5 linked regions of the Canis lupus familiaris genome follow. The protein of the gene in region 3 purifies or fractionates together with the protein of the main gene of each other region. This does not show direct contact. Links are inferred from orthologs where the notes say so. Each region holds a gene or a part of one and is shown on either strand. Other genes may lie near its edges.

Region 1 (3,513 bases), on a different chromosome or scaffold from region 3:
CTGTGGAACAATGTCTACAGACTTACAGAAACACCTGTGCTCTTGCACATTACACAACCACTTATTTCAATCACTCTGCATCCCATCCTGCGCCCTCCCACCGGTTATAGGTTCCCCTTCAATCACCACTCCCCCACTGCCTCTGCTTATAAACCGTAAACCACGTTTCAGTGCTGCTAACACTCATTTCCTCCAGAAAGCTTTTCTCCATCCCACTCGACACTGCTCACATTGTTCAGTGATGGGGAAAAGGAAATACACTAGACTCAAGTCTGGTCGCAAACCTTCCAGCAGCTACCGTGTAAGAAGTGTGGTGCTGGCTGGACATCCTGTTACTAAAGAGTCCTGTCCTCACTCTCACTCTTTCTTGGTGGCAATTTAGATGTTTGGGTGTGTATGTGCTTATTTCTCCCTTTAGTCTGGCAGGTTCCCTGTGGGGCAGAGACAAGTGACTCTGACTCCTCTCCTCTCTCCAACCCCATCAGCCACCCCAAAAAAGCACTCATTACAAAGTTCTTTCCCACAAAGAGGAATAAAGATCACCAGACTCTTTGGGCATTTACCTGTTTGTACGCCTGGGATCCTGCAATTTCCCACTTTTCCCAGAATTAAATGCCAGCCTCGGAAAATCAACAACTACCTGGGTCGGCTTCAGGATGTTCCTGGCTCTCTGGTCGACAGTACTTTCCAAATGCCTCTTCCTTAGGAATGTCGGGGTAGAGATAGACCAGTGGAGACACCAGGATGTTGGTAGCATCCATGATCTTATAGCCCATGATGATTTCAGCAAACGACATGTTGTTCAGCTGTTGCTTGGTATATGGTTCCACCGACTGGATCTGGGTCTTACCTGTCATGGGATATTGTAAGGGAAGATAAGGGAACCTATGGCCAGGTAATCTCAGAGAAAACAACCTGATTTATTTTTCCTCGAAAGGGAAAGACTTATGCCAACCTAGCTCCGGAGCCCTGAATATCCTGTTCAATAACCTGGCACTATGGAAATGTTCAGTTGGCTTCTGGAGAGACTACCCAGTTGGGTCGTAGGCAATATACCTGAAAACTACTCGTGTGAGATATATTAACAGGGTAGGTAAGCAAGGAGATGAAGAATGAGATTTAAACTGCTAGGCAAATATTAGACCCTGGAGCAAACAAAACAAAACTTGCAAACAATCCTCCAGTTGAAAGAATTTGGAGAAAAGAAGTCACTGAAGTATTTTACAAGCCCATGACAGGGGAGTGTGAAGCCATCTCTGCCCACTAGGGGGCAGTAGGTGCTTGAAACTAGTAGTAACCAAGGCGGGGAGGCAACTGCCACTAGGTGGGGTGGGTGAGAGTCAAACTTACCGCTGATGTCCTTCTCCACCCAAGTGAAGGTGACACCTCCTTCTTTGCTGCTTTCACTGAACCGTAGCAGGAAGGTGCCTGGGGGCTTTGTGCTCAGGATGGCCCGCTCCCGCTCCTTACTGATAAAACCCATTATGTATCTGGAGCCAAAGAAGAGCAACCAGATGTGAGCTGATAGGGTCCCCACCACCAGCCTGCTGAGGGAGCAAGTGACTTGTTACACATGTGCACTCCACCAGACACAAAAGTTTCAACCTACCCTTCATTCCAAAGAGCCAGGATATACTTTTTCACGAGGTCAATGATATTGTCTAGCCAAACCCAGAAGGAGAAGCCTTTGCCAGCCATGTTTTCCTAAAGAAAAGAATAATGGGAAAGCCAAGTCTACCCTTCCAGTCTTTTCCTTCCCAGGGGCACCATGCCACCAAAATCCCCAGGCCCATCTCCCCTCAAGTAGGTCCTACTGGCCTCCAGACCATGAGTCTTCAAGCCCAGTGCCATCCAGGACAACCTCACAGGTGTGCATTCACTCCCACTCCCAATCCATAAGGATTTAATAAAATAGCTTACTTTGCAAAATTTAGCCCACGTAATCTGACACCCTGAGTAGTTCACACCAGGTCCTGAAGGAAAAGAACAAATAAAACAGTGTAATTTTCAGCTTTGAATCAAGATCTTAGGATTGTAACACAACATACATTCACACACATCTGTCCCACAATGGGCCGAGCAACCATCGGTTTTCATGTGTTTGCAGGTCCCTACAGTAGAGGGCATGTATGTGCACATACGTGCGTATACACACCTACACCCTCACAAAACCCCATCATCATTTGATCACCTGAGGGGTTGTTTAGCCTCGCAGAGGTGGTGGATGACATACCAAGTCTCTCCCTGCTACTCACATACCACCTCTTCTTGGTCTTGTGTGGTGGACAGGGGACCAGCAGCACACAGTAATAAGCTGACAGAATTAGAGGGGCAAGTTTGGGGACAGCACAGGATAAAGCTACTTATAGTCCAGGTAGCATGTAAAATAGTGCATGAAATTTTTTTCAGGAGAAAAACATAAAAAACAAGCCTCTCCAGTTTATTGAAGAAACAGACATGGATGTCAAGCTTTCATCTCCACCTTCTAACATGCACTTAAAAAATATCTTCCTAAGGTTAGATGAAGCTGTGCTCTGAACGGGGTGAGGAGTCCAGCCACCAAGAGAAAAGAAATCTGCCTCTTACCTCAGAAATGACGACCATGAGGCAAGCTGCCTCTGCATCCTTCCACTCGCCCCCCAAAACTGCTGGAGCACATGTTTTTCTGACCCCAGCACAGTGCCTTGCTCAGCAAATTTTCCTGAATGAATAGCCCCACGGGCCAGATTCCTTCTCTGAGGAGGGCAGCAGGGAAAAGAGGGAAAATGCTAACCTAAGAGTTTCTCTGCCAGCGTAGTCAACTGCTCGATGCTCAGTCCTCGCTTTGTGGTGGAGGAGAACTGCCAGCTCAGCACCTCAGCCACTTGATCCCAGGTTCCAATCGGGGGCTTGGTGAAAAAGTTCACGTTCTGTTCAAAATGACATATTTGCTCATTGGGATGAGACAGCGGCGCCTGATGACCTACACGAGGGACCACAACAATGGTTTCCAGAGGACGGGCACCTACCTTGGGGTTGCTGGTCAGCATGTTGTACCACAGGATTGATGCCCAGGCATTTGGCATCTGACAGATATTCGAGATCACCACAACTGGCAAGGAGTGGGTCTGTGGAGAAAATGGAGAATGAATTGGGGAGGACCCTCACAGTTTTGAACATCTCTTTAGCCATAACTGCACGTTTGGGAATAAAAGGATGTGCCATGAACCACACCTACTGTCAACTTTTGGGGAGGAGTGTGGCTGAGTCAGCTCAACACCAAGAGTGGAAAGAATGCCAAACATGGGTCACAGGACATAATCAGGAACTTGAAAATCAGACTTGCTCAAAGTCAGACTCACAGTCCACAGATTCCACATTTAGAAAACCTGGAAGGCATTCTCTGAGAACTGAAGCTACATTTACCCATTAAACAGAGAGCTCCCAGTAGTCAAAGACAAAGCTTTCTTTGCGTATATCTTGAACTTAAAATCAAGAAAGTTGGTAAAACAGAATGCAAATGCCATGGTTTCC
Region 2 (2,527 bases), on a different chromosome or scaffold from region 3:
GAGCAGGCCGGTGGGGAGCGGGGGTCCTCGGTGGGGGACAGCACCTCAGAGGGCGTTGAGGGAGGGAAGCGGAAGTGGCTGCCACCCGATGGCACTGGAGGGGCACTCTGGGGCACTGCGCCCCCTGCAGGAGAGGGGAGACGTGGCGTCAAGGTCCGCGGTCCAGCCTGGACACAGGCCCATCCTCTCCTCCCTCTGAGGCCAAACCCCCAGCCCAACTACTCACCAGCCAACCCCACATCGATGAAAGGGTAATTAACCAGCACCAGTTTGTTGAAGTTGAACTTGTAGGTGAACCGTTTCCCCTTGGTCTTGTGCAGAATGCGTTTGTTGTAATAATAGCTGTGGGCGTAGAAACACATTGGACCGTCAGTCATGCAGGGACCCCAGTCTAGACCCTTACTCGACGCAAGTTGGGTGTCGCTCACCAAGGAGGACCAAGAAACCTGGGTCACACGCAAGAAGCCAAGGACCCAGGAGAAACAGCTCTCCCCTCAGGTCTGGGGCCAAGACTAGAGGCCACACCCAGACTGTAGTCTCTCCTCAGGACACTTCTATGTGACAGAAGCACTCCAAGGAGGATCAGGACTTGCCCGTGGTCTCACCGCTCCGAGCTGGCAAAGGATCAAACCCGAAGCCTATTCCCGTGGGTTATACGCTCCCCAGCCAGTGGGGGCTCCCCAGCCAGTGGGGGCCATCCACTCTGCCCAGGGGCTTCTGCCCCTCCTCACCGCAGGGCCCGGCTCAGCTTGTCATAATTCATCTGGGGCTTGCACTTGCGGACACCCCAGAGCCGAGCCACTTCGTCAGGGTCCTTGATGACGAATTCCCCGTAGTCCCCCTGCCAGGCGATGACACCCTGGTACTCCTCTTTCCGCAGCAGCTCCAGGATAAAGTGCCACAGCTGGATCTGCCTCGAGCCAGGGGACGACTCCGGCTTGTAGGCCCAATCCGGGAAGGCAAACCCTGGGGACAGACAGGAGGCAGGGGAGTGGCCCCGGGTCAGGATGCCAAGTCCAAGGCTTCAGGTCCCCTCCCAGGGTCCACCCTCCTACCCCGCCCTCCACGTGGGGAAATCCGTCTCCCCTCTGCCAAGTCAGGACCTGAGTTAGGGAGAGACAGTGTGTGTCTGTGTGTGAGGGGGCTAGACGGGAGCTGGGGGGGGAGGGAAGCTGGAGCCTGCTCCAGCGACACGGGAGAAACAGGAAACCGTCGGCGGCGGGTCCCGGGGCCAGTGCCAGGGGGCCAGGCACCAAGCCAGGCCGGCGGGCAGGGCTGCCAGTGGGGGAGGGGCAGGAAGGGGCACACGTGGCCAGCCGGGTTGGGGCGATCCCCCCCGACCCCCCCAATTCCCATTCAGGGCCAGTTATACCCCTCCCCCAACTCACCCCACAGCTCCAGTCCCCTTCTGGGAACATAACACTGTCTCCCCTCCCAAAACCTACCAGAGCCCGACTCCCACCCCAGGACCCGATGATTTTTTTTTTTTTTCTTAAAAGGACCAGGAGGGGTGGGGTGGTTGGTTGACGATGAGGTCAGCGCTTGCACACACAGAGGCTTCTGTCTTCCCTGGAGAGTGAAACCCAGACTGTCTGAGAGAGCCCCCCCCCAACAAGCCCTAGACCCTCTGTGCTGACTGCCCTCCCCGGACCCAGGCGCATGGACACAACCTGGCTGGAACGCCCCAGCCCAGGCCTGGAGACTGAGCAGGCAATGCTGCAGCCTGTTCCCCCTTCCGCCTTCTCATCCTCAAGCTTCTTCCCTGCCCACCTGCCTACCCGCCCCCAGCATTAACCTTGGGTAGAGGTTGGTGGTGGGCTGGCTGGTCCCTGGAGGGGGTGGGCAGCCTGGGGGGGGGGGACGGTGGGGGGGCTGCGGTTGTCATTTCCCAAACCCCCGGGTAATCAGGGGCCATCAATAATTCAGCACTAGGCAGCCGGTAATGGAGGGGTGGGAGGAGGGAAGGGGAGGAAGAGAAGGAGGGGGAGGCAGGATAGGGGCCCTGATGCCACCAGAGGGAGAAGGCCAAGGTGGACAGCAAAGGATGGGCGGGGTCCCAAGTCCCAGTCAGGCTGCTGGAGTGAGCCTCTGGCCTGCCTCAAGCCCCAACTGAAGCAGGTACCAACCAGGCCTGGGGCAATGCTGAGCCTCCCTCAAAGACTCCACCGCAGCCTGGACTCCCAACAGAGGATACTTCCCCTTGGGGACACAGGGATTCAGCAGTTCCTACTCCCACAGGCACTACCCCTTCTAAATCCAAAGCTGACTCTATCCCCTACAGTGAACCAGCTTCCTGAGCTCCAGCCTTGGGTAGGATGGAATGGCCAGCATTCCCCACTAGTCACAGCCCCATTCAGAAATCCTAGCCTCAAACCAGCGCCTCGGGGCTCCAAGGATACGACCTCCAGCTGGTTACAGTCCCAGAGTCCTACACCAGCAGCCCCTGCTCCATTCAGAAGTGACAGCCCCTGACAATGCCTTCCATAGATCCCAGCATCCATAGCCCCATCCCTCTCTCGGGAATCCA
Region 3 (4,237 bases):
ATTTTTTAAAATAAATAAATATTAACATTTCATTCAAGAAGCCCTCCATAAACCCAGCATTCTTTTTTTTTTTTTTAATTTTTATTTATTTATGATAGTCACAGAGAGAGAGAGAGAGAGGCAGAGACACAGGCAGAGGAAGAAGCAGGCTCCATGCACCGGGAGCCCGATGTGGGATTCGATCCCGGGTCTCCAGGATCGCGCCCTGGGCCAAAGGCAGGTGCCAAACCGCTGCGCCACCCAGGGATCCCTAAACCCAGCATTCTTAATCAACACTTATTAAACACTAATGATGTGCAACATAAATTACATTCTTACTAAGGTAAGGATTAAAAACTATAATCTGGACCAAGGATTTTAATTCCAGTTGTACTTGTATTTGGATTTTAGGAAAGGAAGATTACTGTAAAAGTACTTGGCATCTTCCCTAATAAAGACTTGGAAGGTCAAATATGTCTACAGCAATGACAGAAATAGTTACCCTGGGATCCCTGGGTGGCGCAGTGGTTTGGCGCCTGCCTTTGGCCCAGGGCGCGATCCTGGAGACCCGGGATCGAATCCCACGTCAGGCTCCCGGTGCATGGAGCCTGCTTCTCCCTCTGCCTGTGTCTCTGCCTCTCTCTCTCTCTCTCTCTGTGTGACTGTCATAAATAAGTAAATAAAAATATTAAAAAAAAAAAGAAATAGTTACCCTATCTTACTTATCTTCAAACTAGTAATAATCTCATCGGGGGGAAAAAAAACTTTCAATTAAAGTAACCTAAACCTAAAAAAAAAAAAAAAAATTAAAAATTTAAAAATAAAAAAAAATAGTATCCTAAACCTAAAGTTTTTTCAGTCCATATGTTAGATGCTAAATTTTCAAAAAGAGCCATGGGACATGATGGACAATTCTGAACCTCTCATGACACATGCCTACTTACCAGCAGGTGTCATAGCAATCAGATGTTATGACAGAGAAGTGATGCTGTGGGCAGTACTTTCTAGGGCCTTATTTCTTTTAGACCTGACCTAGTTTAATTCTTCTTTTGGCTCCTAAACCTGAGTTCACGTTAATTTTCACAGTTGTATATGTGAAGCATTTTGCTCCTCAAGAGAATGAAAATAGTCAAGATTCAATTAGTCTTTTTAAAATTTAATTAGTCTAAAATACTTGTTAAAACAGGCCCTTTATGGCATTTCTAAAATCACAATCACTTAAATTTGAATACATTTTTAAAACAGATTTGCTTACAACAGTAAAATATACCAAACTCTAAAGCTACTAATAACACTATTTAAAGACAAAATATAACTGAAAGAGCTCCAGCAAATGAGAGAGGATCTCAGTCTATCATCTCAAGTCTGTCTCTTCTAGACGTAGGACTTGAAGAATTTGCTCCACCTCGAAATATTTTCTCCCCTGAAAGAGGGATATCACCACCTCGAAGGTGGCTGTTCATATAAAATGAGATAATATACCTAGTACAGTACCTGCCACCAAGTGTTCCGTAAATATGTTTGCTTCCTTCATTCAACTCAAAACACACAAGAAAGAGGTGTAAGGGAGCCCACGCTTCCGTAAGTCCTCATCAGCACAAAATAATACAGCTAATTCTAATAAAAAGAACCAAGAACGTTTCTGAGGGATATGATCAAGATAAGGGAGGCTGCACGTAGTCCTGCAAGAATTCCATTAAGGCTGCACATATACTGACCACTAAAACATCATTAACAGCTCAAGTCCACAACAATTCTGCTAAAACGTGTGAATACATTTACGCCAAGAGAGTTCACTAGGGGTAAAGAAAAAAGTGAAATTAAGCCCAACTCCAAATGACTAATAAATCAACCAAGAGAGCGGTGCAGGCTTATCCTTCTTGAAACGCATACAGTGTGGGTATTAAAATCCATTTTAAAACTTCAAGATTAAAATATTTCACAACCCACAGCGGTGCCACTGATGCTTTTTACGGACAGCCTGCGCGGGGCACCGTTAGCACGACCGAAAATATTTAATGAAAGCCGTTCGCGGAATACCGGGGAGGGGAGAAGATTATTTCAGGTTCTGCACACAAGACCGCGGCCAACACCACCACCGACGAGCATCCGATGGAATTCCTGGCTCTACAGTCGGGATGTCAAGAGGAAGGCCAAGATGCTAGCATCATGGGGGCCGGGGGCGGGGGCCCGGGGACCACTTCCGTTCCCCTCCCGGGGGTCCCGGCTCTAAAACCCGCGCCGCGCCCGGATCCCCGGGTCCCCGGACACTGGCCTCCGCCCCCCGAGCCCCTCCCCTCGGCGAGCGGAGGCCGGCCCGCGAAGCGCAGTGAGCAACACCCAAACCTCCAGCGGCCCCCGGGCCCCGCCCGAGGCCCCCGGCGCCCACTCCGCGCGGAAGCCACGGGCTGGGGGCGCGGCGGCGCGGGAGGCCGGGACGCAGACGAGGCCGCGGCTGCGTCCGCCGCGTCTCCGGGCGGCGGGTGGGCGGGCGTGGCGCGGCCTGCGGACAGGCGCCGACACTCACCACACCATGCCGTAGGCGCCCTCGCCGATGTAGGAGAGGTTGGTGTAGCGCGGCCCCACGTCGAACACCTGCCCGCGGACCATCTCCGGGCCCGCGCCCGCCGCCGCCGCCGCCGCCATGTTGGCTGCCGGGCCGCCGCCGCCGCCGCCGCGAAAGGCTCGACGCTCCGCGGCCGCCGCTCGGCCCACGCCGCGCCTCCCGGGGGGACTGCGCCGCTGCGGGTGCAGCTGCCGACGCTGATCGGAAAGGAGCAAGGAGGGCAGCGCTCAGGACCGCGGGAGAGACTACGGCCGCTCGGACCGACTGCCTGCCTGCCTGACTGACGGGCGGGCCGGCGGGCGGCGGGAGGGGCGCGCGCCGAGGAGGGCGCCGGGGCGGGGCCAAGGAGCGTGCGCGCGGATTGGTTCCCCGCCGCCTGGGGGCGGGGCTGCGCGGGCCGGCGGAAGCGGCAGGTCGGGGCGGGGCACTGCGGCGGCGGCGGCGGCGGAGTCACCGCCCTGCCTGGTCACGTGCGCCCGCGGGGGTGTTGGCGCGGGATGCGGGCTCCGAGACGCAGAAGGACGGCAGGGCGTCGGGACGGGGATGGGGGCCGCGGGCCTGAGAAACTTTCCGGGCGAGGCGAGCCCCGGAGCGGGGCGCTGACTGGGCCGGGGCACGACCTGGGGCCGCGCGTGCGGCATGCCGACGCTCCGCACACCTCCGCGGGCCCGCGCGACCCCGTGGCCCACGCACACACCGAGGCCTCCAGACGCGGCCAGGAAAATGAAAGGCAGGACCGAGACCACGGAAGATATTTGCATACTGAGAAAGTGTGAAACACAAAGCCTCCAGCGAGAGGCTCAGGATCCGCTAATCAGACACCTTCCTTCCACCAGTGTTTGGTGAGCAGCTGCATTGTTCCTGGGCATCCACATTCTAGAGTGAGGAGATAACCCGGTGGGTAGATGAGACAGGAAGGAAGAGAGGTAAAGAATACTCAAGTAGTGGGACCCCGGGATGGCTCGGTGGTTGAGCGTCTGCCCTTGGCCCAGGGCGTGACCCCGGGGTCCTGGGATCGAGTCCCGCACCGGGCTCCCTGCATGGAGCCTGCTTCTCTCTTGCCTGTGTCTCTGCCTCTCTCTCTGTGTCTCTCATGAATAAATGAATAAAATCTTAAGTGCCAGGAAGAAATACAAAGCCGACTGAGGGGTTGGGGTTAGTGGAGAAAGACAGAGTCAGAGACTGAGACCCACGTCAGTACAGGTAGACAATCTTAGGACATAAAAAACAAATGCAAAGATGGAAACACCAAAACCAAAACGTTAAGATCTAGAGAAAATGAGACAAACACACCGAGGCCCTGAAGTACTCACAAACGCCAGAGGTTGAAAATTTAAAATCAGAATCCTAAAGCAGGTGAATACCAGGAATAGCTAAGACAAATGAGACAGGAGTGCTAACAGCCACTGCTTCTGAGCATTTCCCAGGCCATCTTTGGAGGGGAAGTAAGGATGCAAGATCCTACATCCCAGTTCTCCAACACTGTGATCTTGAAAGCCCTCAACTCTGGACTTCTAGACGTCAGCAAAGTTTAGTCAATCTCAGAGGTGAATAAGCAAATATTTAAAAACCTGCTAGCAGGACGTCTGGGTGGTTCAGTGGTGGAGCCGCTGCCTTTGGCTCAGGGTGCGATCCTGGAGACCGGGGATTGAGTCCCGCACAGAGCCTGCTTCTCCTCCCTCTGCCTATGTC
Region 4 (4,145 bases), on a different chromosome or scaffold from region 3:
CACCAGATGGGAAACTAAGCCGCGGAGGACGCAAAACCGCGGGCAGGCCAACGTTTACGATAACCAGGTTCAGGGCCGCGGATGAAGACTCCTCTCCTGAGCCACGGAAATAAGAAGAGAAAACTGGAGAAGTAACACTAGGGAGAGGGCAGGTTACGGGGAGCCAGGCCCTCCAAGGGGCCTCCAGGGTCCCCCTCCTCTTGCGCTGCCAGCCCAGGGCTCCTGTGGGGCTGCGGCCCACGGCCTGGCCTCTGGGAGGAGTCCCGCTGTGTCCCCCTGCCCCCAGCCCAGACCTCCCTCCTCCACAGCCTAGTCAGATTCCGCTCCTTTTGCAGCGGCCCCTCCTCCTCCCCCAGGTGCCCTCCTCCAGGCAGCCTTCCTGTCCTCTCCTTCCTCTCGCTCTGGGCCTCAGTTCCCTGAAGCTGCAAAGCCTAAGAGCTGCAGCTTGGGGGTTCCTGAGGTGCCCAGGCATGCTTTCTGGAGAGGGCTCCCTGTAAGGCTGGGGGGGGGGGAGCCTGGCTGGGAAGATGGTGGAGGTGAGGCGAGGTGGGGTGGGGTTGGGGGCAACTTTCGCACCCCTGAAGGGAGAGCAAGCTTGGCTCCAAGAAAGTCCCCCCGAGTGGGCTGTACCGAGCCTGCGGGTCCCAACGCCCGAGGAGGGGCTCCCCTGCACCCTGCTCCCGCCGCTGGCAAGCCCACCAACCGGGAGGGAGCGGCCCCGGGGGGGGGGGGGCGCAGTATCCAATCTCGCAAGTGAGTAGTCGGTGCCCGGCGCCAGCAGCGCCCGCTGCGCCAGCAGCAGGACAAACTGGAACCTGTTGCCACCTCCGCAGTGCAGGGCTGCGCGCAGCCAAGCCCCCCACCCCCTGACCCCCGCCGGCCGCCCGCACCCGCACCCCTGTGGGCCCGCCCCGCCGCGCCCCGCGCCGGCTCCCCAGGCCCGCAGGCCGCGCGCTCGCCGCAGGGTGGGCCCCGAGCCGGCCCCTCCAGCACCCCCCCCCGGGCGCCCCCCCAGCCTCCACCCAGCCCGGCCGGCGCCCCTGGGGGGCCGCAGACCCCGCGCGCCGCGTGCGCCCTCCGGTGCCCCGGAGCCCCGGGGAGCGGCGCCCCCTCCCCCGCCACCCCTCACCCCGAAGCGCCCGGTTCCCGCCGGGCCGAGCGGCGGGCAGGGTTTCGGCTGTGGCGGCCCAGTCACATGGCCGGGAGCACAAGTCCCAGCGCCAGCGTCCCTGGCAGATCCGGCGCCTCGTCCACAGATCCACTTTCCGCCGCGGATGCTTTCTGCCTTTCCCGGTCGGGCTCCTCGCAGGACTGGGAGTTCCTCCAAGGCGGAGCGGCCCCAGGCTGCCCCAGCCCCCCGCGCAGGGCCTGGCCGGCGCTCCCAGAAGAAATGCTCGCTAACAAAGAAGTCATGAATGAATGAAACCAATTGTTGCATGAGGGAGCCCCGGCGGGTGCTGCTTCTCCCGGAGGCTCACGCGCATTTTCCCACCCCACAGACCCCCACGCACACGCACACACAGCCCGCCGCTCACCGCGCATGCAGGCGCACACACTGCAGCAGACTCCTGTCCTCGCCCAACCCACCTACTACGTGCGTGCCCGGCCACCCGCGGCGTGTGTTTGGCCGCAGCTGGGCCACCTCGCCCTGCCTCGCCTCCCCCCACCCGCACCCCACAGCTAAGTACGGTACCTTGCACCCCAAGTGCCTTCTCTATCTCTTAGGGAAGAGGCCAAGCCAGTCGCTGGGGAGACTCAGGATCGCTTTAGCTTGGCACCCAGGGGGCCTCAGGACGCGAGCTGCTGGCGCCAAAGGCGAGCCAGAGGCACCTGGCAGGGATGCCACCAAATGCTGCAGCCTCTAGAGCCCGAGTGCCAGGTGTCAGGGGGTGGCGGTGGGAGGGACTCGGGCATGTGCTGGGTGGGGGGGGGGTGCTGGGGGCTATTTGCCACGGGGTTGGGGCAGGGTGCCAGAGAGGGTTAATCCAGCAGGTGTGCATACGTGTTGGGGCGTACGAGTGTGCACGCTGGGGAGGCAGGAGGTGTGCGCCTGGGGAATGGGCCTGGCTGCGGCGGCGGGGAGTGTCGGCTGCTGGGGCATGAGTTAGTTTTGGGTCTTCACTCGGGGGTAGGTGGATCGCAGTGTCTCTGGGCTGGGAACGTGGGTGGGGTGTCTGTAATGAGCATATGGGTTGTTGGAGATGGTGGTGGCACGGCGAGGGGAGCTATGTTAGTGCAGCTATGGCAGGGATGTATCGCGTGTGTGTGCGCGCGCGCACGCGCCTGGGTGTGTACTGAGGCATGGCAGGGTCTGGGATGGGTGCTCGCCTGAGTTGGGGGCAGTGCCGGGCGGTGGGTCAGGGGCTGCTGCTGCGTTCGCTGCAGGACTAGGTCCCCGGTGCGCGGTTTGTGCGCGCGCGTGCAAGTGGCAGGGGATGTGCGTGGCCGAGGACAGGGAGGTGCACGGGCGGGATGCGGGGGGTGTGAGGGGGCAGGATCGAGTGGGGCTCGCAGGGGCGCGTGCGTCGGCCCCGTGGGGTGCGCGCTGGCAAGACTTTGGGGTGCAGGGTGGAGGCGCTCACGTCGGAGGGGGCGGCCGGGCGGGGTGGGGGTGGGGTGGGTGGGCGCCGGGGAGCCGCGTGCTCCGCTCACCTCCGCTCACCTCCGCTCACCCCGGATCCGCTCGGCTTCCTGCGCCGGCTCCGCGCGTCGCGGCCGGGAAGTTTCCGAAGCCCGGGCGGCGGGAAGCGCCACCGCCGCTGCCACCGAGCGCCACCGGAGCCTCAGGCGGCGGCCTCGCCTGGAGCCGAGGGGCCGCCGCCGCCGCCGCTGCGGAGGGAAACTCCAAAGCCCGCCTCCGCCGCCGCCTCCTCCCCTCCCGTCGCCGTCTTCTCCGCCCCCTGCCCAGGAGGGGCGATGTCGCCGGCGGCGCGCGGGGAGGGAGCGCGGAGCGAGCGCGGAGGGAGCGCGGCCTGCACCTTCCCCGCCCCGGGCCGCCCTCCTCCCGCCTGCGAGACTGGCCGCCCCGCCCGCCCCGGCCCCCTGAGGGATGCTCGCGCGGCCCCGGCCCGGGCCTCGGGCGCAGGAGTGGGGGGACACCTGACCCGGCGGGACCTGGGCTGGGGGAGGGTGGCACCCAAGAGTCCACGCGGGAGGGCAGCCAAGGGGCCCGTGGAGGACCGGGCACAGCTTGGCCCCCAGGGCCACCGCCTACTGCCACACAGGGTCCATCTGACAGTGCTGCCCCCCCCCCCCCCAGTCCCAGGTCCGTCTGCACTGGCTTCTCCCATTCTCCTGTATCAGATTCTGGCTAATAATAATAGCGTTTGAGCCTCAGTGCCTGGAAGGGGTGGAGCCAGGGCATTGGGGGAGGGCCCGAGAGGGGGCACTGTGGCGGCCCACTTCGCTGTCCTCCGCAGCCGAGGCCCCGAGCATCTCCACCAAGGACCTCATTTTGTGCCCACACCAGTCCGGGAGTCAGAGGGGACTGCCCCCCCTGCCCCGGAGAGCTAGGGACACTGAAGCAGTGGCTTCCTGGGGTCAAGCACGATGTAGTGGCAGCACCAGAGTGGGTTCGGAAGCCCCCCTCCAGTGTCAACAGCAGGACGCACTGGGTTCTGGGCCTCACTCACTGCGGGGGGTGGGGTGGGGGAGAGGAGGCAGGGAGGGGGCGCAGGGGGCTCCCAGGTCAGTGGTAGCTGACTTGCCCCCCCACGTGGGGCACGGGATAGAGAAGCAGCAGGAGGCTGCGGGCTGCTGTGGGCCAGCTGCTGGCAGGCCTCCGGCGTCTCTGCTCAGGGAGCCCAGAGCGAGGCGACGCCAGGCCGGGATGGCATCAGGAGGGAGGCGCGCAGAGCAGGGATGCCAGCAGCGCCATGGATGAGGGGGCAGCCAAGGGAGGCCGGCTCCTGCCTGCAGCTGGGCCGAATTCCCCTGAGTCACTTCCTGGAAACCACAGGAGAGGGGCAGCTTGGTCTCTGGTGCCTCAGTTTCCTCACCTGTAGAGCTGGGGAGAGGGGAGGGCCTCGTGACCTCCCAGGGCCCCACGAGCTTTGCTGCACTTTGGAGGCGCGATGTGTGAGCCCCAGGGGGGGCCTGCTGCCAGCGCCCGGCATACCTGCCTTGTCCTTTGCCCCTTCCAGCGT
Region 5 (4,160 bases), on a different chromosome or scaffold from region 3:
ACCAGTTTAGACTTGTCAGAGTGGCCAGAAAATAAAATGATGTTGAATTCTTATGTTCTGGTTCATGACTATGTGTACACTCTGAAAAGGAAATATGGGCAAGCAAAAGATGGGATGGTGGACAGTGACTGAGCAGCATCATGAGTTGAGAACAATTAAAACCATACTTAACAAAAACTTCCCTAAACAATCAAACTTGATTGTTAGATTTAGGATTTAGATTCAAGAACTAGGTAGAAATCCAGCCTGTATTAATCTATTAACTCTTTGTGAGAGTGTAGTTAGTACATGTTATTTTCATGCTCCAGATCTTTTCCTTACGAACACTTAAATGTACTATATCACACATACATATGACTTGTTAGAAATCTGGGGAGACGGAACATCAGAAGAATGGAATGAGATGTCCTGGGAGTTATCGCAAGTTTTCTGCAACTTCTTTCTTGATCAACAATGACTGGTAGCTAACAGGTAGTTAATAATTTTAAACAAACAAAACAGTCTATGCATTTCATTAAACGCTTCAAACTTTTGGATCTTTTTAAAATAGTTTTTTAAGGATTTTATTTATTTGAGAGATAGACTGAGCGAGAGCACAAGCAGAATGGAGGTGCAGAGGGAGAAGCAGACTGCTTACTTAGCAGGTAGCCTAATGCGGGGTTTGATCCCGGGACACCGAGGTCATGACCTGAGCTGAAGGCAGATGCTTAGTTGACTGAGCTACCTATCAGATTTCTTTATTTCCTATTTCTTCTACCCAGAATGGACAGTCCATCTTCCATTTTGCCTGACTAATTCTTACTCAGCCTTTTCCAGTTTTCTCTGAGTCCTCAAATTAGGTTGAAAACCTCTCTTTGTAGTAGCTTGTGAGTAGTGTTCTTATCAGAGAACCTGTCAGTTTTGTAATTATCCATATTCCATGTTAGACAAAACTGCTTGTGGTTAGGTCTCTCTAGATCATGTTCATAACCCCAGTATTTAGCTCAGGGTTGAGTTTGACAGTGCGGTGAAGAAAACATAGAAAGTCACTGGGAATGTGGGAATGGGGATAGAGTTTTATAATTCCTCAATCAGGGTTCAAATCCAGCTTTAAATGCTAACCAATAGACATTACTATGTGCCAAGTACTTTTTAGTCAGAAGATGGTAAGAACATTATACTCTCTCCTTTTCTAATCTAGCTTTAAGACCCCTGGCAATTTATTTTTATTTGAGGCTAATTTTCCTTATGAAACAGAAATTAAAAAAAGTATCCACCTCATAGCTGTTGGGATTACTGGAGTAATAGGAGAAATCACTACAGTGTCACTCGAGCATCAAATAAAGTAATAATTATTACTTCTGAAATTGTGAGTTGGTAAAGTCAGTTTAATCTACTATAAAGAAAACAGAATTCTCCTTAAAAGACATACTGCTGAGAGAATTTAGAGAAGATTCTTTGAATATCCAGGAAACAGTATATTCCCGATCTTTCAATTAAGAAAATAAGCTTGTAAAAAAAAAAAAAAAAAAAAAAAAGGAAGAAGCTTGTGCTGACCCATTTGCTCACTTGGCCTTCCTTTGTGAGCAGAGTGATTCTTATTTCTATTTGCATGTTGGCTGACAAGTTAAAGATGCCAACAAGTGCCTTTTATAAAGAGTATATTAAAATGAATAAATCATGGGCTTTGATGTTCAGCCCTACCAATTACTGGCTGCTCAGAAGTTACAAAACCCCTCTGTTTCCTCATATGTAAAACGAGGACAATATCAATCCTTTCTCACTTGGAAAGAGTTAACCAGGTAGAACAGAAAAGACCTTAGCACAGTCCCTGCATACAGTTTGCATCCACTGAATGATGAGTGTGCCTCACTAACCATATCTGCGTCTTCCTGGTTAGTGTGCTTATGCATCACAGCGACTAAGTTCACAGGATGGGTTCACGAAGGCCTGATTTTATGTCCCAGTTCTGCTAACTTGGTTGTGTAACACTGAGCAAATCTATGTCTCAATCTTTTTATCAATAAAATAATAATAGGATTACCTCTCAGGGATGTTGGGTAATTAAAAAAGAATAATCAATGTAAATACTTAATACGGTGATTGGGGTTCTACGTGTCATTACTTCATTATGTTTTCAGTAAGTATGCTACTACCATAATTTTACCCATAAATTGCCTTTACCAATTATCCTTCTTTTATTCCTGAATGGAATATCCAAAAGAAATTCACAAGTTCATACGAAAAACTTGGTCAATTTTTTTTTTTTTTTAATCAGTGGGGCCTTCCGGACTTGACCATCAAATAGCTACCAATAGTTTCCTTATCCCCACTTCCTTCTCTCTGCCTTAGTTTCCCCACAGCACTCGTTCATTGGCTGTGTTCTCCAGCTGAATGTAGTGAACTCGATGGGGCAGAGACTTCGCTTCATTCACTGCTCTACCCTTATCTGAATGGTGCTAGGGAAGTAAATGCTTAGTATAGATTCTAGGAAAATAATCAATTGAATGAGACCCATCGCAGCCCTAAAATCTCCGATTAGCCTCCGAGGAAGGGACTCGAGAGCGGCAAGGTGCGTGACAACATATCCCGACCCCCAACTCCTTTCCCCGTACGCACCGGAAGGGTCATTGAATCGTTTCAGGGGCGCCTTAGGAAAAGACATGTTGATGACCAGCTCCACAAACCGAAGGTCACTAGCTCTCCTCCGCAACTCCTGGCTGCTTATTTCGGCCTAATCGCTCCAAATTCAAACCTCCCGGCTTACCCACGGCCCACCTCTAACGTCAGCAGATTTGAAAACCAAAGTTTTGGGCGCACCAATCCAGGACGCGAACGACTAAAGAGCATGCGCACCTGGCCTGGTCGCATCCAATCAGGGCTCCTGTGAGTTTAGGTCACCAGCCAATAGGAGACTATTATTGCCCAACCCGTGTCCAATCGTTCCTGGCGTTACTCAATTGTAACTTACACGCTCGCCTCCTTTGCGCAAGCGCATTTCACGTCTGAGAAGTTGGCAGGCCCGCTTCTGGCGTCATAAAGGCGGCAGGGCAGTGAGTTCTAGTTTCGCTAGTTCCAACTTTCTCCCACCGTCCCTTGGGTGTCAGCTTCCCCGGATTTCGGTTCTTTCAACCTGGGCACTGCCAGCGTCGTAAACGGCCACTGGAAAGGAGAAAGGAGCTCGCGGAGACCTCGGCTGACGTCCCTGCGCATGTGCAGTGACCTGAGCGGAGAGTCGGGGCGTGGCCTGAGCGCGGGGAGCTCGCGCGTGCGCTCGTCTCGCTCCGTGCGGCTGCAGCTGGAAGGCTCCCGGAGTATGTCGGCCCCGTTTGAGGAGCGCAGTGGGGTGGTTCCGTGCGGGACGCCGTGGGGCCAGTGGTACCAGACCTTGGAGGAGGTGTTTATTGAAGTTCAGGTGCCGCCTGGCACTCGCGCCCAGGACATCCAGTGCGGCCTGCAGAGCCGGCATGTGGCGCTGGCCGTGGGTGGTCGCGAGATCCTCAAGGTAGCGGCAGGTCGGGGCTTGCGCTCACTTCCCTCCCGGCCTCTAAGCCCCCGAGTCCGCAGGCTCATGGTTTCCACGGAAGGACTGCTGGAAGGCCGAGTGAATGGCTCTTTGAGCCGAAAGAGCGATAGATAGCACTGGCCTGGTTTGGGTCTGGTCCGTGTCCCCACCCAAGGCTAGTCCCGAGTTGACGGAGAGATGTGAGGAGCCCGGTGTCCTGGCTTTCTCTCTAAACCGAAGAAGTTGCTGCTTTTGTTCCCCTGCGGGTCTTCACCTAGATGTTTAAAGGGACCAATACTCGTTGTACATATATTTTCTTCGAGGCGCTGATTTTAAGTGCTGAGAGGTCAGGGATGACCAAGACCGAAGTTCCCTGCGCTCAGGTGATGCTCTTGCAGGGAGGCATACTAAAGCGAAGTTAGTAAATGCTTAAGCAGTTAGGGGACAGTAGAGGACACAGTACAGGGTAAGGATATCGGGAGGAGGATTCAGAGGTGGCGTCAGGTGATTTATTTTTTTTTTTTTCCACAAAACTAGAAACATTCTGCCTGTTTGTGGAGCGGTTAAGCAGGTAGTCGAGAGGCGTTTTGTGCCCATCATGCCCGTCGGATCCTTGGTAAACTTTATAGGTAAATTCAGTGACGTGCAAGTTAGATTTCTTTTCCGGATCCGATGC

The links.
Region 1: the proteins of MAPK1 (region 3) and STAT3 purify together in Homo sapiens (affinity purification with western blotting; 3 studies listed by BioGRID and IntAct, with this or other methods). This does not show direct contact. The link is inferred for Canis lupus familiaris from reciprocal best matches to the Homo sapiens genes MAPK1 and STAT3.
Region 2: the proteins of MAPK1 (region 3) and ERF purify together in Homo sapiens (co-immunoprecipitation; 3 studies listed by BioGRID and IntAct, with this or other methods). This does not show direct contact. The link is inferred for Canis lupus familiaris from reciprocal best matches to the Homo sapiens genes MAPK1 and ERF.
Region 4: the proteins of MAPK1 (region 3) and DUSP9 purify together in Homo sapiens (affinity purification with mass spectrometry; 5 studies listed by BioGRID and IntAct, with this or other methods). This does not show direct contact. The link is inferred for Canis lupus familiaris from reciprocal best matches to the Homo sapiens genes MAPK1 and DUSP9.
Region 5: the proteins of MAPK1 (region 3) and HMMR purify together in Homo sapiens (affinity purification with mass spectrometry; 4 studies listed by BioGRID and IntAct, with this or other methods). This does not show direct contact. The link is inferred for Canis lupus familiaris from reciprocal best matches to the Homo sapiens genes MAPK1 and HMMR.

Annotation. Positions count from the first base shown.
Region 1 is NC_049230.1:20,479,936-20,483,448, reverse strand, and holds part of STAT3 (signal transducer and activator of transcription 3), read right to left. Parts: intron 3,108-3,513; coding exon 3,009-3,107; intron 2,910-3,008; coding exon 2,774-2,909; intron 1,974-2,773; coding exon 1,921-1,973; intron 1,705-1,920; coding exon 1,610-1,704; intron 1,491-1,609; coding exon 1,351-1,490; intron 851-1,350; coding exon 638-850; intron 1-637. UniProt on the Homo sapiens protein: Signal transducer and transcription activator that mediates cellular responses to interleukins, KITLG/SCF, LEP and other growth factors. Once activated, recruits coactivators, such as NCOA1 or MED1, to the promoter region of the target gene.
Region 2 is NC_049222.1:112,849,622-112,852,148, reverse strand, and holds part of ERF (ETS domain-containing transcription factor ERF), read right to left. Parts: intron 967-2,527; coding exon 732-966; intron 343-731; coding exon 227-342; intron 125-226; coding exon 1-124. UniProt on the Homo sapiens protein: Potent transcriptional repressor that binds to the H1 element of the Ets2 promoter. May regulate other genes involved in cellular proliferation.
Region 3 is NC_049247.1:31,299,818-31,304,054, forward strand, and holds the start of MAPK1 (mitogen-activated protein kinase 1), read right to left. Parts: upstream 2,810-4,237; 5' UTR 2,626-2,809; coding exon 2,507-2,625; intron 1-2,506. UniProt on the Homo sapiens protein: Serine/threonine kinase which acts as an essential component of the MAP kinase signal transduction pathway. MAPK1/ERK2 and MAPK3/ERK1 are the 2 MAPKs which play an important role in the MAPK/ERK cascade.
Region 4 is NC_049260.1:122,651,274-122,655,418, reverse strand, and holds the start of DUSP9 (dual specificity protein phosphatase 9), read right to left. Parts: upstream 2,808-4,145; 5' UTR 2,653-2,807; intron 1,831-2,652; 5' UTR 1,694-1,830; intron 1,398-1,693; exon of another isoform or gene 1,130-1,397; intron 97-1,129; exon of another isoform or gene 1-96. UniProt on the Homo sapiens protein: Inactivates MAP kinases. Has a specificity for the ERK family.
Region 5 is NC_049225.1:48,676,413-48,680,572, forward strand, and holds the start of HMMR (hyaluronan mediated motility receptor), read right to left. Parts: upstream 2,803-4,160; 5' UTR 2,645-2,802; coding exon 2,599-2,644; intron 1-2,598. Other genes in the region: NUDCD2 (nudC domain-containing protein 2), read left to right, coding at 3,191-3,484. UniProt on the Homo sapiens protein: Receptor for hyaluronic acid (HA). Involved in cell motility. When hyaluronan binds to HMMR, the phosphorylation of a number of proteins, including PTK2/FAK1 occurs.